Schizosaccharomyces pombe: one gene and its partners. The gene in region 1 interacts genetically with each later gene. Each region holds a gene or a part of one and is shown in the gene's direction. Other genes may lie near its edges.

Evidence for each region.
Region 2: mutations in sap114 (region 1) and shr3 together harm fitness more than expected from each alone (negative genetic interaction), as found in Schizosaccharomyces pombe (one large-scale study listed by BioGRID).
Region 3: mutations in sap114 (region 1) and mug166 together harm fitness less than expected from each alone (positive genetic interaction), as found in Schizosaccharomyces pombe (one large-scale study listed by BioGRID).
Region 4: mutations in sap114 (region 1) and apm3 together harm fitness more than expected from each alone (negative genetic interaction), as found in Schizosaccharomyces pombe (one large-scale study listed by BioGRID).

Annotation. Positions count from the first base shown.
Region 1 is NC_003424.3:1,171,418-1,176,078, reverse strand, and holds sap114 (U2 snRNP-associated protein Sap114), read left to right. Parts: upstream 1-1,630; 5' UTR 1,631-1,923; coding exon 1,924-2,050; intron 2,051-2,099; coding exon 2,100-2,406; intron 2,407-2,469; coding exon 2,470-2,786; intron 2,787-2,871; coding exon 2,872-3,246; intron 3,247-3,289; coding exon 3,290-3,609; 3' UTR 3,610-3,728; downstream 3,729-4,661. Other genes in the region: ept1 (CDP-alcohol phosphatidyltransferase class-I family protein), read right to left, coding at 298-1,321, 1,372-1,508; cardiolipin synthase/ hydrolase fusion protein Crd1, read left to right, coding at 3,953-4,080, 4,123-4,179, 4,223-4,661. UniProt on the Schizosaccharomyces pombe protein: Involved in pre-mRNA splicing. May be involved in endoplasmic reticulum-associated protein degradation (ERAD) and required for growth at low and high temperatures.
Region 2 is NC_003423.3:1,173,898-1,178,039, reverse strand, and holds shr3 (chaperone protein Shr3), read left to right. Parts: upstream 1-2,126; 5' UTR 2,127-2,174; coding exon 2,175-2,285; intron 2,286-2,674; coding exon 2,675-3,211; 3' UTR 3,212-3,560; downstream 3,561-4,142. Other genes in the region: translocation subcomplex subunit Sec66, read right to left, coding at 601-1,179; mtx1 (metaxin 1), read left to right, coding at 3,956-4,142. UniProt on the Schizosaccharomyces pombe protein: Involved in amino acid permease processing and required for the efficient translocation of structurally related amino acid permeases from the endoplasmic reticulum to the plasma membrane.
Region 3 is NC_003423.3:1,245,504-1,248,984, forward strand, and holds mug166 (protein mug166), read left to right. Parts: upstream 1-1,894; 5' UTR 1,895-1,980; coding exon 1,981-2,685; downstream 2,686-3,481. Other genes in the region: SPOM_SPBC651.04 (uncharacterized protein), read left to right, coding at 1-57; ESCRT II complex subunit Dot2, read right to left, coding at 599-718, 777-1,415; SPOM_SPBC651.07 (uncharacterized protein), read left to right, coding at 3,093-3,103, 3,189-3,418.
Region 4 is NC_003423.3:1,258,289-1,262,320, reverse strand, and holds apm3 (AP-3 adaptor complex subunit Apm3), read left to right. Parts: upstream 1-1,647; 5' UTR 1,648-1,680; coding exon 1,681-1,721; intron 1,722-1,765; coding exon 1,766-2,185; exon of another isoform or gene 2,186-2,233; coding exon 2,234-3,050; 3' UTR 3,051-3,132; downstream 3,133-4,032. Other genes in the region: protein dbl7, read left to right, coding at 481-1,302; Smc5-6 complex non-SMC subunit Nse5, read right to left, coding at 3,252-4,032. UniProt on the Schizosaccharomyces pombe protein: Part of the AP-3 complex, an adaptor-related complex which is not clathrin-associated. The complex is associated with the Golgi region as well as more peripheral structures.

The DNA of each region.
Region 1 (4,661 bases):
CGAAAGGCTGGATCATTTAGTGAACGAAGTCGCAAGTGAAATACTTGTTCATTATTATGTTCTGGTAAAAAAACCAACTTTTATTACTACAGCAGGAAAACAAACAAAAGTAACATATTGTTGGCAGAAAACACACAACCGAAAAAAACCTGTCTACTAGGAAATGGATCATTTTGATACTTCTGATCCGTTAGATACATTGCAGAACAAAAGATCGACCGAAAGGTTATCAATGACAAAATCTCTCTGGACCCTTTTGTTCTCATCTCTATTCTGTCCAAACCATCATCATCTAGTTCAATTCTTCTTGGACTCTGGTTTGGATGGAATAGTCAAACATTTAATGCCGTACTCTTCCGTAATCATGGCAATGACATGTGCAACAAAGTTGCCGTAAACACCAATGCAAATTCCAACGTAGCAAAAAAAGTATTCCGTCTGAACGTTTTTTAATACGCCAAAAGTATAGGCGTCCACGGCATCCACCAAGAATGGAAGAATAAGCACATTCCAGTATGGGAAGGGAGATTCGGTAATGTGAGAAACAATTACCACTCCAACCGAATAAGCAAAGATAAAAGCGTTCAAGCAAAAAATAGTGAGGAAATGATGTTCAAAGAAAGCAGGATACTTGGCATAGAGTGAAAAGACAGCCATCCATTGGAGGAAATAGGGAAGGATACCACTCAATGCTTTAATCACACTTCCGTTGTTCTTTTGGACGGCTTGAAGAGCATTTCGTAAACTTTGTAAGACATTCAATAGCAGGGCAAATGCCATAAAGTTGTACAAGCATGATCCATATGTGTAGTATGGCAGAAAGGAACGTACAAATCCCCATGACTCGGGAGTGGGATGTAGCTTGAGCCAGAAAGAATCACCCTTAATAGCTGTAAGGGCAAATAGTCCAATAACCATTACAATTCCTTCGACAGGACCCGAGAAGTATGAAAGGTACAAAGTACCCGTATGGTATTCTTCCCAAGTAGAGATGTAAAAGTATAATAAGCTGGCAAATTGAGTAAGGATTGAGCTAAACATATCTAGTTGCAGCAGTTCAATCGTCAGTAAAACTTCAAAGCTCGTATTGATGGCGTCTACTCCATGGTCAAATAATTGACCTAATGGAGATGATGTGCCAGTACGACGCGCTTGCGAGCCATCAATAGCGTCAAAACTTTGGTAAAGAAAAAGGCCAATCGCCCAAGAAGCATACACCCATGATGGGAAAGCATCCATCTCATAATGATACTTGTACACAAGCATAGTAAGGATATTGATAACAACGAATCCAAGCCCGATCAAAGTAATCAAATTAGGTCTAAGTAAAGAGTTAGTAAGAATAAGCAAGCAAACGGGTGTAGATCATACGCCATAGACATGGGAATCACCTTCAAAAGTTGATTCCACCAGTACGGCTTCAAAATATATTTTGAAAGAAGTGAGTTATCAATCGCACTATATTTATAGTTATGAAGATTCTTTAACTGCTTCCGGTTTAACTGCATCTTGAGAAACTACCTGGATATCCTTTCCTTATTCTCCGATAAAGTACTGGTAGAGGGTAAACATGTTACGCGTCTTAGTGTGTAGAAATAAAGGCAAAGCAACGAATGCAGATAAACCTTCTACCGATAAATAAATGTATAATGTAGCTTGCAAAAAAACTTGCACTATAACTATCTTTTAAATTCTAAATTGTAAGGATAATTGTTGCTATCAACCGTTTTGATGTTATTTGTCCATCCGCAGTGGATTACGGATGCCCTAGGCAACAACTGTTTAGAGCAGCAAGGTCGCCCTAAACTTTTATAAACTTCTATTGAATTTCAATAGTCCTTTCTTTTCGCTTGTCCATCGCTTCATCTGCCTTGTGCGACAAGTGTCCTTCCACCACTACCTTTTTCTGCATAAGTCTCACATATGAGTTCTTTAATGGAATTCCAAGACAGAAATACGACAAATAATGAAACAGAACACCAAAAAAGCATCACTGATCAAAGTTCATCGGTCCCTGCAGGGGTAATTTTACCTCCTCCAGCAATTCGAGGTGAGTCATAGTAATTAGTACAATAGACGCGCCTGCTAACGTAGCTTAGAAATAATTGATAAATCTGCTAGTTACGTTGCCAGAAATGGCCCAGCTTTTGAAGAAAAAATTCGCCAGAATGAACAGGCAAATACTAAGTTTGCTTTCTTGCATGCTAATGACCCCTACCACCCATATTATCAGCACAAATTAACTGAAGCGAGGGAGGGAAAATTGAAGAGTCATGCCACAGGCTTGTCAACCCAAAAAACATCCACTTTGGCTCGTCCCATTCAAAAACCTATAGAGGCAACTATTCCTGCTCCCTCACCGTACTTGTTTTCAGAACCACTTCCTTCTATTTCATCACTAGATTTGTAAGTATCATCTCAACTATTATTTCCTTCTTCTTTGAAGTTGCTAATTAACCGTGAATCTAGAGACGTGCTCCGTTTAACTGCGCGATATGCGGCAGTTCGTGGTTCTTCTTTCTTAGTGAGTCTTTCTCAAAAAGAGTGGAATAACACTCAATTTGATTTTTTAAAGCCAAATAATGCATTGTACCCTTACTTTATGCGTATAGTTCAACAATATACTTCTCTAATTAGAGAGCCCATTTCTTCGCCAGAACAGGAGCTTCGTGAAAATGTGAGAGACCCTTATAGCTTACTTTCTAAAATTCAGCCGCGTGTAAGGTGGCAATCGCATATGGAGAGCCAAAAGAAAAAACAAAAGGAAGAAGCCGAAAAAGAGAAGTGTAAGTGTATATTGAGATGCAAAAACTGGTTCAGGAAGTCCAATATTCTTCATTTACCATTTGAATTGGAACTAACTTGTCTTAGTGGAATATGCACAAATTGATTGGAACGATTTTGTCGTTGTTGAAGTGATTCAATTCACAAAGTCCGATGAACATGCAAAATTAGCTAAACCTACGAATTTAGCGGATTTACAAACTGCTACTTTAGAACAAAAGTCTGCCATGTTTACCATGCCTGACCAAAATTACACTATTGAGGAAGCTCCTCCTACAGCGGAGCCTTGGGAGCCCATAAGTGCGCCTAAAAAACAAGAATTTGGTGTTTCTCTTCCTCCATCACTTGCTTCTCCAGAAAAAGGAGGTATTTCTTCAACTACTTCAGTTTCTCCTGCCGCACAAGCTTCTCCCGTTTTGTCTACCACTACTCAGCCGAAGGTACAAAAGCCAGTACCAAAGGGTAAGTTTATATTCCTTATTGTAACTTTACTGACCCTGTTTAGCTTTCCAGCCCAAAGTTCCGATGGAGATATCGCCTTTCTCAGGTGAATTGGTTCCCGCTACAGAACTAGAAGAGCATATGCGTCTAAAATTACTTGACCCTCGCTGGCAGGAACAGCGCAAAGTTGAAGAATCTAGGAAATCAACTTTAAATTTAGAGAACGTGAACGTTGCTGCAAATATGAAAAGATTGGTTAGTCAACGGACTGATTTGTTTGACGTCCAAAACGGGGTAGAAATCTCTCAAGAGGAAATCGAACGAAGAAAACGTGCTGCTACTCAGAGCGCTTGGGGAGCAACTCCCACAAATAAACGCCGGTAGATTTCATAGAACTTTTTTTAATTTTGTTAATTTTTACTTTATTTTATTTAAGCTTCGTAGGACGCCGAAATCTATTAGTTAATTTGCTTCTACAACTCGTGAAATAAATAAGATGTAAATAAACCAGGTGTTGTAGACTTTCTCCAACTAATTGAGAATACAAATATTCTTTATTATAAAAAGTCCAATACACTAAACAAAGCTGGATTTTAACTTAGGAAATGCGGGTCTGGTTTTCATACCCGCCCACCGTCATCCTTAAGTTGTCATACCACGTAACCGCACAAACCTCTTAATTTTTTACTTCTTACATTGTTGATTCTTCATTTATCGGCTTTAATAAATGCTACATACTATCAATTATAGATCTTGGCATTTGGCTGCCAGGCAGTTAGGGCGTTCAACGTTTCGAAAGTTTACGACCGAATCGTCTACTAAAAGCCCTATTGCAGATGTTTGTTTCGCATTTGAGTAATACAGTAATTAATGATCGATTTTTGAAACTAACCAAAGCAGTATTGATGGAGTTTTAATTAGAGGAGGAAGAGGTTTGAAAGAAGGAACGAAGACGTAAGCTTAACTATGAACTACCATTTTCAAACTAACTTGTAAGTTTGAAATTTTTGCAAAAAAATAATATACCTTTTATTCTGTTAACGAATGGAGGTGGTATGCATGAGAGTGTTAGAGCTCAGCGTCTTTCCAAGACATTGAGCGTAAGTTTAACAGAGGATGATTTTTGTCAATCACATACCCCCTTTCGCGCTCTTGCGGATAAGTATAAGCACGTCTTGGTTCTTGGAGGAAAAGACAACAGCGTCCGTGAAACTGCTGAAAAGTATGGGTTTAAAAGTGTTATCAATGAACTCGATGTCATCGCAAAGTTAGGAACTCCATTTTGGCCTTTCACATCTTTTAACGAAGAAGATATTAAAGATGCAAAAGACTTTGACGTTACTAGACCCATTGAAGCAGTTTTCACTTATGTCGATCCTGTCCGACTTGGTTTGGATCTTCAATTGGTGATGGAATTGGGCCAGTCGAAGAATGGT
Region 2 (4,142 bases), on another chromosome or scaffold:
TGGTAACCAGTCATTTCTATTTAAAAAAAAAAATTTTGATCCACTCTCCTCTTTACTAACGCAGCAATCTACATGCAAATAAAAAAAATAAATACCCAGATTATTACCATACAAGTAATGTACAATTTTTTTTGTGCAAGATAGTTCATGGAACAGAGAATGAGTATATTAAAGAATATGAAGAGTAAATTATAGACCAACTTATAAAGGCTGAGCTCTTAACGGAGACATTTTGGCCAGAACATACATTTGAATTCCAATAACTTGTTTTCAAATAGTGCTTTTTTCTTTTTCCTTCTTTCTTTCCATATTTTTGTTATTGGTTTGGAAAAAAAAGGGAGTAGGAATAGGATGATAGATAATATGAATAGGAAAAAAGTATGACTTTCAATATAAAGGTAAGGACAGTGATAAAGCAAGCCCCCTTTATGGAGTCTATTACTGAATTTGATTTATGAATGAGTTCTAAGGATTATTGTATAAAATAGGAATTTTAGTTTCAAAGAAAGAAAAAGATAAGAAAACGTAAAACATCAGATGCAAGAAAGAAACAGGAAAAAAAGAATAAAGGCACATACGAACATCTTTTTTTAAAACAATTTATAGCACTCCAAGTTCTTTTTGGGCTTGAATACGCAATTCCTCATCAGCGGCTTCATACAGAATTTTTTCGGTTTGCCAACGTTGCGAAATAGAATCAATGTCCTTGGGAATATTATCAATTATGCTGTGAATTTTTTCGTTTTCAATTATTTCATTGCAAGTTTGGAATATAAACTGATTCCATCCAGGCTGCAATGAATTGGCAGTTTTGGCAATATCCATCAACTCCAATTCAGTTTCCTTTTCCAAACGACCAAACTTACGAATTAGCTCGTCACCAACGCCGCCGCGGTTGAGCAAATTATTCAATGCCATTCTCGATACTTTAAGCTTCATCAATCGACGAAGACCTTCTGTAGCCCGTAAAACGAGAGCAGCTTTCAAAAGTGTATCCTCGGCAGGTGGATTCTGCTGCAAAAGACTGAAAAATATATTTCTAGAATAATTTTCTCCAAACCATTCTTCTGATACTGGTTTTGATTCCTGATTTTTGGATTTTCGCACAAAACGAGAAACTCCATACATAGAGCCCATTAAAATGGTAATATATATCAAGGGAACGTAAATCGACACCATATTGAATTAATTAACACGGCCAAGTATGTAAAGCAAGCAGGGACCTTTTTCTTTAACAACTCGTATACCCTTTTTGTATTATTTGTTTTTTGCAGAGTGGACTGCAAATATGTATATGAGATATAACTTCGAGACCAAATGAATGCAAGACCAGTTTAGGTGTGAAAGGAGAATAGTGTGTTTTCTGGAATGCTTTATATTTTATAAGGTTGATGTAATTTTCTGTTATTTGTAGATAAGAGATATTTATGTTTTCTTAAAGACGCTAAAATATTTTACGCGATGCGCTATTAGATAAACAAATCGATCGGATATTGTTCAATTGTTTGTTTAAACTCAGGTAAAAGTTTTTAGAATTAGAAATGAAAAAAATTTACTAATAGGGAACTAGGATAATAAACAATTGAGCATTTTAGAAACAGATTTTGCGACCATTGTGAAAACTGACGAAACATATAGTTAGGAAGACAAAAACACCTCATTTATGAAATTATTTCTTTTTTTCAAGTATACAAAGGATCTTTGTATGTTCTTCTATATTGTTTCTGTAGTTTTATTAGTATTTTTACATATCGAGGCATTGGCATTCATTTGTTTTATTTACAGCCAATTAATAAATTCCCTTATTTTGATATAAGCTTTACAGTCTCGCTTAACTTGAAAACGCTATGATGTTGTGTATTCAGTTACAATAAATAGTGACATACAATAGTCGCTCAAATATATCTGGTTATATTTTATATTAAATAATTTTGCCAACTGATTTATCTTGGGTTGATTTTTCTTATTCGTGAGATTTAGATAGCCGTTCATGATGTTTTTCTGCATACAATGCATATTAGTGGAAAATGCGTTCGATTTCCTTATACTCATACAATCCTTTAGACCGTCGAAAGCGGAGTGGTATCACTTTGGTATAAAAAGGTAGTCTTAATTAACCTACCACTAACGTATATTTTCATTAACAAAAAAAAAGTTTATTATCATTATTCAAGATGGCTAAAAGATCCATATTTCGTTTTGCTGATGAAAAGGGCTTGAAGGTCGCTGCCCGTTATGGAGTCCTTATGTCAACTAGTTTTATTTTTGCTTTACTTTTCCACAGCGTATGTTCCAATCAAATTTCTATTTTATTCTAAGATTATTCATTTGAAAATCAACTTTCATTTGATATCAATTTCGTTTAGCTTTTGGAGACAAAGGGAGCAGAATATGAGAAATTATAAGTCGGTACTTTGAGTGAATTCTGAATTTGTTTTACAAAACATGCATTGTTAAAATAAATCTGGAAAATTATTTTATCAGGAACGTTTCTAAAAAGGAGCTTTTTGTCTGTTTAAGTTTTCATAATCGGATACGAGCATTCATCTTACCGCTCAATGTTTGCCGCGCTGCTCATTTTTCTGTTGTTCTTATGTTTTTGGAGCTTCACTTCGAATTGATTACTTTGTTCATAGTCTTTATTTTCTTAGCATAAATTACTAATGTCATTTAGAGCGTTGCCGATGTGAATACCTTATGGAGTCCTGGCCCTGAGTCTGCTTTCGATGCTGCTGAAACTTACTATACTTTGGTGGCTGGATCCCATTTCATTGTAAAATATACTGTATATACCATCATGGGACTTAATATGATTTTCCATCTTATTCAAGCCACTGGCGCTAAAGGTGATGACAAATTGTTCTTTTACTCTAGCACGCTTCTTTATCTTACTGCACTAATTTTGTTTATTGTTAATGTTGCTCCTTCTATGTTGGTTGTTAAGCTACAGAATTATGTTCAATTCCCACGAAATATGCACTTGTCCGTTCTTGCTGCTTCTCATGTTCTTGTTGAATTTCTTCTTGCTGGTGTCATTCTTATTCAACTTGGATACGTTTTCGGATATCATGTTCAAAGTATCCAGCAGCGCGAATACGCTGAAGATATGAGGGAGCAAGAATTAGCTGAAAAGGCTAAATTGGAATCCGAGTCTGCTACTACTCAGAGTGTAGAAACTGTTTCCACCGAATCTGTTTCAAAGCGCAAGTAAACAAACCACTTGGGTCTAATTTTACAACTTTTGGAATAGAGTGAACTATTTTATATCTTGCTAATTATTGTTGCTAGTCCGTCATCAACTCTTTGACGCAAAGTTTATGTCTAACTAGAAAGCAAAGAGTGACTTGCATTGACGGTAACTGGGAAAGCTTACATGTGTATTCATACGTACAATTATATATATACAAGATTTATACTGTCTTATATAAGAAATAAATTGACTTGAATTTTCGATAGAGGAATAGTTCGTTATGTTTGGATTTAGAATAGTCTTTAGCACACTTATACTTCTTAATAATTAAATATGTACTCATTGTGCAAAAAGGATTATCACAAGTGAAGCTTTTGTGAGATTGTATATTCTTCTATACTATGGATGCATAAACAAAGTCTCATTTTAGATGGGTTTTACGCTGCAGATACAGCAGAAGCGCCATACAAATATACTAAGTAAAATCTCAAAGTTCAAATGCTCAATCGATTTATTGTGCTAATTATCGATGTTTAATTCACTTTTTAACAACTAATAAATAGGTAACAATGTTACTTGTTCGTATAGCTTACTTGACTGCATAGCATCAGAATGATAATTGTAACTAGCTTCAGCGAATTTGGTAAGTTGGACTAGTTGGTTAGTTATTACCTTTTTTTTCTTTCTTCTGTGTTTCTCTAATCTCAACCCTACTGTAGACGGTAACTTTTTCAATTCATTCGTTCGGGTCATTTTTTGATCAAAATGTTGCAACTTTTCATTTATAGCCCAGGACTTGGGCAACCAACGATGGATCCTGGATGCTTAGCGGCATTAATTTATTGCGCACTTGCCGTCCCAAAGGACGAAATTGAAATTCTTCGCACTGCAAATTCAGGTATGAGCCCTACCCATAAGCTACCAGCTTTGTGGGATGGTCATGTTTGGATTG
Region 3 (3,481 bases), on another chromosome or scaffold:
ACCACTACTCCTTATTCACCTGCTTCCTTTGAGGTACCAAAGACCCTTAAAACTTAAAAAATGATTGTTTTCTTCCAAGGAATTTCCCTTACTAATTAATTTTGTTTCCATTTTCCAAGGTCCATACAACTTTGCGTCTTGCTGTTTAATATGACCTCCGATTCTATTCTATTTTATTATATTATTATTATTCTTAAATTATTGTTGTGTTGTTTATCACTACTTCCCGTTATTTCGAGCTCTTCTCTTCTTCTTCTCCTTCTTATACCTGTACATATTATCTTTTCCAGTTTCATACTTTATGTCTCTCCTTTTTTCGGTTTTCGTGCTTCAGTTTCTTTTACTTCTTAATTCTTCTAAACCCAAACTTTTTTCTCAAACATATATACATATATATATATATTACATATTACGTTTTCTTCATCGAATTCAAAGTTTTATTCTTCATTAGTTTGACTTTTATCACAGCGTTACTAGATGCTTTTACGAATTAATATATAGACTGGCAAAATTAAGCGTAGGGTTGACTATCTATGAACGGTTGTAAACAAGCAGGTCAACCTCCCCCAAAATTCTAGGTAGTCTTGATAAAAAGGCATTAGAAATTTTCGTATAAAAACCTTTGCGCCTGGTCGTCGATAAGATTGCTTGCACCCCAATAGGCCATCTCCACCCCCTGGGAGTCAATCCAGAGTAATGATTTTGAAACTAAATCATTCTAAATTATTTGGTTAGTCGCAAATGTTTTGAGATATTTTTATAATTTAACTGCGTACCAATACTTGAATGCATCTGCTACGCTCCCAAGCGTAATTGTCCCGTAAAATAGATATTGTTACATAGCCCAATATCTCTACAGCCTCTAAAACAACATTTTGGTCGGTGTTGAGCTCTAAAGGAAGGGACCGGATATACTGTTTACCTGCAATTTTTTCAAGAACAAAGCCAGGGCCAAGTGGGGCCAAACTATCGACAGCTCGAACAACGTCAGTCTCTCTTAACCATTCATGACCAAAGGCTTCATTTTCTTCATTTAAAAAACGACAAACTTGGCTGACCGATAAGAGGCCTCCATTCTCCATTTGAGTAGCATAACAGACTTCGATTACTCGTACAGCGACCTGATAATAGAATTCGTTCATGCCCACGGCCGCCCAAGCTGACTCATCAGAACCACTAACAAATGGATCTAAACCAATTTTCAAAGCTAACTTAACAAATGTATTTCGAAATTGAGAGTTTTGTTTTATCTCAGTGGCATGTTCTCTCGCAAACGTCTTCAGCGCTTCCTGAAACGTCGAGAGTTGAGATGCAATTTCATCGGACTGCTGTTCAATAAGTTCATTTCCTACTTCTTCATACTGTTTTAGATATTCATCGTCGTTCAAAGCTCCAATTCCAATTCTTTTACGCATCGGCCCAACCGAACATTGCTTGTTTCAAGCGCACAATCTTTATGATCGAGGCTTTTAATTAACAAGTAATTTCGAAAAAATATCAACAACAACGTAATTGACCAGTTTCTACAATTATTCGCGAATAATAGTCCTCTTCCAAGATCACAGGAGTTGTGTAGAAGAGCAATAACAACCTGCTTAGGAGAATAAACCATCCATTAATTATAACAATAGTAAACTAACTAGCTCATGAAAAGAATGTAACTAACAGGAGCGTTACATTTCATTATCTAGTATACCAAGTTATTTCCTGCTATATTAGTAAACTATCTTAAATTAGAATATCGTATAGCAGCGCATATTCAGTTTTTTAACGCACTTAACTGGACTTCCTTATAAAGTTGTTTATCACATTGTTTAGCTGCGGTATTTTCTTGATTATAGACTGGTACCACCACCAATAGTGACTAAGTGTAGGCCAGAGATTATTTGGTGCTAAAACCAACTACTTCTTGGGACTCTGCGAGGCTCGAGTAATTTCAATCGTTTTTTTTTATTTACTCACATTCAGGGTGCTTTGAAGATGCCAAGGAGAGCTGTACTTTTCCGTGGCAATTCATTCATTTCGTTTTCGTCAATTTCCTCAGGAAACGAGAGTAGCGCCCATGGGGATGCTTCACTTGGACAAGCAGATAAACCCTTAACTGTCGACGTTTTAGATGCTTGGACCACTCAATTCACAAAAAAGCAGACCAGGGTCTTTCATGAGGCATATGTAAGCGCTTATATCGATTTGCAACAAAAATACGCTCGACTTGAACGACTTCAGGAGCAGATCCTTAATTTGGAAAGATCGCTGTTAAATTATAAATCTTTAAAAAGTAACTCTACCACAACGGTGGCGACAGTTCCCTCCGAAAAACGATATTTCTTCCGCCGCAAACCAAAAACTTCTTCAACTACTAATTCTCTCTCTTCTTCTTCTTCTAGTGTCTCGCATATGAATCAAGATGCTAACCCCAATAGCACCGTATTGACCTTTACTGCTGTTCCTTACGATTCTTGTTTACCTGCACCAGACCGACACACTCCCTCTAGTGCATCGTCTAGGGCGAGTGAAACGGGTACCACAAGCCCACAAAGTATGAGGAACCAAATTAGCCTTCTTTACTCAAAAGTCGATCAAGTCAAAACTGAAATTGCTTCGGCACAAGCTGTTATGCATGATTTGTTGCGCACTTATCCTGGCAGTGAAAGTTTGCAACAATCTACTCATACTCAATTTTGATGCCCCTACACAAACAAAAACTCTCTCTATTTTTAGTTTTCTGTTTTATCTGCGTTTTCTCTTGAAATGAATATTTTTTGTTAAGTTGTATTTTAGAGAATTCGATTATCGATGGATGTCCATTGATGAATCGATCGAAAGAGTCCCATGAGACTTTTTCTTTAATTGTTTTACCCTTTAATAACTTGGAAGCATTCACCAATATATATTTGTTATCGTCTTTTCCATCGAATCTTCTGTAATTCACCTCTTTACCTTTTTCCAGCAAGCCTTGAACTTTCGTTACTTGGGTCGTTACTTTATACTGATGTCCTCTAAATTAATTTCGATCCACTTACTTCCCCATCTCTTTCAACATTTACACTTTCTGACTATAGTAAGTGTTTAATTGTAAAAGAGGTTACTCCATGATTGTAATGTACGTTCCTCAATAAATGTTGCTGTACGGACATTGCCGTAACAAATTCAGTCAGTCAGATATATTTTTCTAACTAAAATTGAAGTGAGCCGACAATACTTTACGAAGCTGCTGCTTTATACACCCGTTATACTGCAAATGGAGGCGATTCTAACGACGTTGTCGCGTTATTAGTAGGACCGATCGTTCAGACATTATCTATACCTTCTTCAACATCTAGTGCACCGCTTGTCACTTCAGTTCGGGAGATTCTTGAGCTTGCTTGCAATGATGCTGTGCTCGACAAGTCGTTTCTCAATGAAAGATTAGAACACTGTATGATCAATAAGCATCACTTCGCTTATGCGCGCTAAGCATCATTTTGCTAATCCGTAAACC
Region 4 (4,032 bases), on another chromosome or scaffold:
AAGTTCTTGTTGCTTTGCTCAATATGATGCTATTTTATTATATTTTCTCTGCTTCGTTTAATACCCAACGTACTTATTATTCGTAATTTAATCTCGTAATTACTCCGTGTTGTTTTGTAGGTCCTCCTCGTATTCCTTATTGCTGCTCTTTTCGAAAAAAAAAATATATATATATATTTTCCATAACTAAAATGGGTCTGTGGACGAAAAAATCTATTTTGTTTAACCAAATGACTAAAGTATTTGTTAACCAAAAATTATTATTTTTTTTCCACTACTTCGTATTTAATACAGCCGATCATACAGTAAAGTGCTGATTACACTCGCATGATCGTTGTCTGCTCTCACCACAAGTCATTCACTTATATCAATGTTGTGCCAGCTTTTTACGTTTAAGCTCAAAATTTCCTTTGTATCCATATATTAGGATTATTGAAATTCAATTTATTGTCAATTTATCATGCCGCAACGCTATTATACATGAGTTCCAAGAAAGTCAAATACAATCCTCGAAAAAGCGCATCTCAAAATGAAGCTACCTCAGCTTCAGCAGGTAGCAAAGCTTTTGGATTTAATTCCGCGAAAAAGGAGAAACTTCATAGAATGGCGCTGTCTATGGAAGCAATTGAAGATGTTGAGGATCAATCGTTCAATGGCAAGTCTTCCAATCTAGTCAGAAAGCGTCGGGGTTTGGATGAAGACATTGATGAATTTTCTTCTTCATCAGAGGATGAAAGAAAGCCTGCTCGACATCCTCAAAGCTCCTCTCAAAAACCATTTGCTAGCTCTACATACAACGTAGAGCTTCCAACATCTCCGACTAAAATTACCAATATCGGTCAGTCAAGCCCTAGAGCATTGCGCTACCTGTCTCCAGAATCTCAGAGAATAAAAAACGCCAAGATGAAGTCGCCTATTTCAACACATCTGGCTAAATATTCTATTCATCACATGGGTACTCCACCATCTAAACCGTCATTCTTGAGTTCTAGCGTGTCTTCCCCTGCATCTAGTAAACAAAAATCACTTTTCCAGTGCACAAAAGATCTCGAGAAGAGATATATCAATCGTGTTCATCGTTCATCTGAAACTGAGCTTGTGCAACTTTCTTCCATTAAAGTTCTCGATCGATTTCTCTCTGACATATATCTAGTTGAAGCTGAAAAAAATGAGGAAAAATGCACAGTTTTACTTCTAAAACGTTCTAATACTGATGTAGACAATAGTAGCTCTCTATCTCTTACTTTACCTTTGTGTAAATTTACCAAAAATGGGCATCAAGTACACATACATCCTTGCTGATTCATATATAATGCTTTTTGCTATATTTACACAAAGCGTAAAGTTCATTGTGATATATTTATTTGTCATATATATATATTTTTTACAAGTATCTTAATCTACGACATTTATGAAAGGTGGTTTTCTGTTTAATCTAATTAATTTTTCAACCTGAGGTTCCTGCGTACCTTTTAGCAACCCATTTAAACGGTTTAGCATGTCAACAGTAGCATGGCTTAATTACTATTAATTACTTAAATTGTTTATAAATTAGGCTTTAAAAAGATTGAGAAAGGACATCTATGGTTACCCTTTCCTGTACACTAGAAGACCTTCTTAATCCATTTACCTTCATACGTATTCATCACCAACCAACCGCTCCTTTCATAAAACTTTTGAATGAGCACAATAGAAGCAATATATCTTGTAGACACTAATGGGTATGCGTTAGCTGTTTATTTACTTTATTAATCAAGTTGACTAGGGCGTTACTACTCCAGTTGGAGTCTCGAGGAAGGACATCTCCCATAACGTTAGAACATATAAAAAACGAACTTTTTCGCTACAAACTTCGAAATGAGGAGCCTCCATTTATATTACATAACAAAAATTTTTTGATATTTCAAGAGTTAGAGGAAGATGTGCGTTTGTGTATTCCTACAACTTGCGACACTGAGCCTCTCTACATTCATGATATTATGAGACGCATTGTGGATGTAGTTAAAACATTTTTTGGTGGGTTTAATGCTTCAAAGGTCGAGAAAAATGTTTGCGTTATTGTCCAGCTATTAGCTGAAATGATTGATTATGGATATGCAACTTGTATGGAACCAAATGCATTGCAGGACATTGTACCACTCCCTAGCTTTATGAATAAGTTTATGGCAGTTACTGGTCTACAAACGTATGTTATTTAGTTTTCTGTTTTTGCAGTGCTAACCGCATGATTTAGAAATACACCGACTCTTGCAAGAGATACCGTTCCTTGGAGAACAGCTAAAGCAAAATATGCAACCAATGAATTTTTTATTCATGTACTTGAACGCGTATCAGCCGTTTACCAGCCTAACGGAAAACTTGCTTTTGGCACAGTTAAAAGTGATATGGAATGCAAATGTCAAATATCTGGTATGCCTTTACTTTTGCTGAGTTTGAGACCCGGCACAAAACTAGGGAATGTTCGGTTCCACCAGTCAGTCAATTTAAAAAGATGGAAACAACATCCGGATCAGATTGAATTCATTCCACCGGACGGAAAATTTACATTAGCTTCTTTTCAAACAGACTTTGCTACCCAGAAATCTTTGCCTGTTGTTGTTGAAGCAAAAAATAAGTTGGATGGAAGGTTCGAAGTACGTATTCGAAACACCGGGAAAAAATCCGTTGAAAATTTAAAAATCCTAATAACTATTCCTCAAGCTCTAAAGAGCGTTACGGTTACCGAGGGAAATTATATTTTTCGTGCTTCCAAGTATACTCATATGGAAGAAGGTATTCTGGAGTGGTCGGTAAAAAAATTAGCTTGGACATCCCCGGCCTTAGTGTTGACAGGATTCCTGGCCCCCTTAAAGAAAGATGCCAATTCAACCGAAGAGTCAAGTAGCTACTCTAAGCTTGAGCACCTTGATTTACAATATAAACTTCAAGGATCAACCCTTCATAATTTTAAAGTAGAGTCATTGAAGATGCTTAATCATCCAGATAAAAAATCTTATAAAGGGGTCAAGCATACAATTATTGCACAAAATGTTTCATTTCGTTTTCGGTAATAATTAATTTACTTTCTATCTACCCGTTTGTTTATTATATATTATTCATATAAATTTCATTTTCTTAGTTATCACTAATGATTATAATAATTATTTTCCACACAAAGCCTCATTCATTGAAACGATACATATAGTCTATATATATTAGGATACACAATTAATGCCAAATGACTTCTGTTAATTTGTAGTTAAATTATTAAGTTAAACGATTTTATCCAAGGACAATTTTTTTGAAATATCTAATAATACAAGCATGTCTTTGAGTATTGCCATTGGTCTATCAATACCAACTAATTCTGTTTGTTGATACATTGTGTATAACTGCTTCAACGTTGTGTAAAATAGCTCTTTATCAAAGTTGCGATCACTTTCACGAAGGGCCGAACCCAAAAATGAGACCCATGCTCGTAGATGTAGCTTCTGTCTGATTTTGTTTTTCGGAAGGGAAGTGGGTAAAAGTTGAGTTAGCTGTTTAGTAAACTCACAACGTGTATGGCGTATGTTAATTCCAATACCTATTCCTTTCATAAGTATATATTGGCTCAGGCAATACCGGAGATTGGAGGCGCCTAAGTTTCCAAAGAAAAGATCTTGTTGTTTCGCATTCAGTTTTGAAAAACGTTCGTCGAGTTTGCTAAGAAAATGAAAAGCGTCTGTCAGATGTACAACAAAAAATCTTCCCTTCGGAAGCATAGCCCATATAAGGCATAAGAGTTTGGCACCTAGGTTTGCTAGTCTTGATGTTCCTTCAAAACTATTTGAACCTCGACTTTCTGTTTTAGCAGGTGCTTTGGACATACTTGTTGCAAAAGGTGATTCCATTGTTTGCTGGGGAAGAGTGAAACAGGAGAAGCAAATTCTGATGGCATCTTGAAGTTCACACAAATCTTCTCCCATGTATTTTTTCATCAACGCAGATCCGTTTTCCTCAGCATCGATCTCTAATATCCTTAACCATATGTCCATCAAGGACATCCAACGT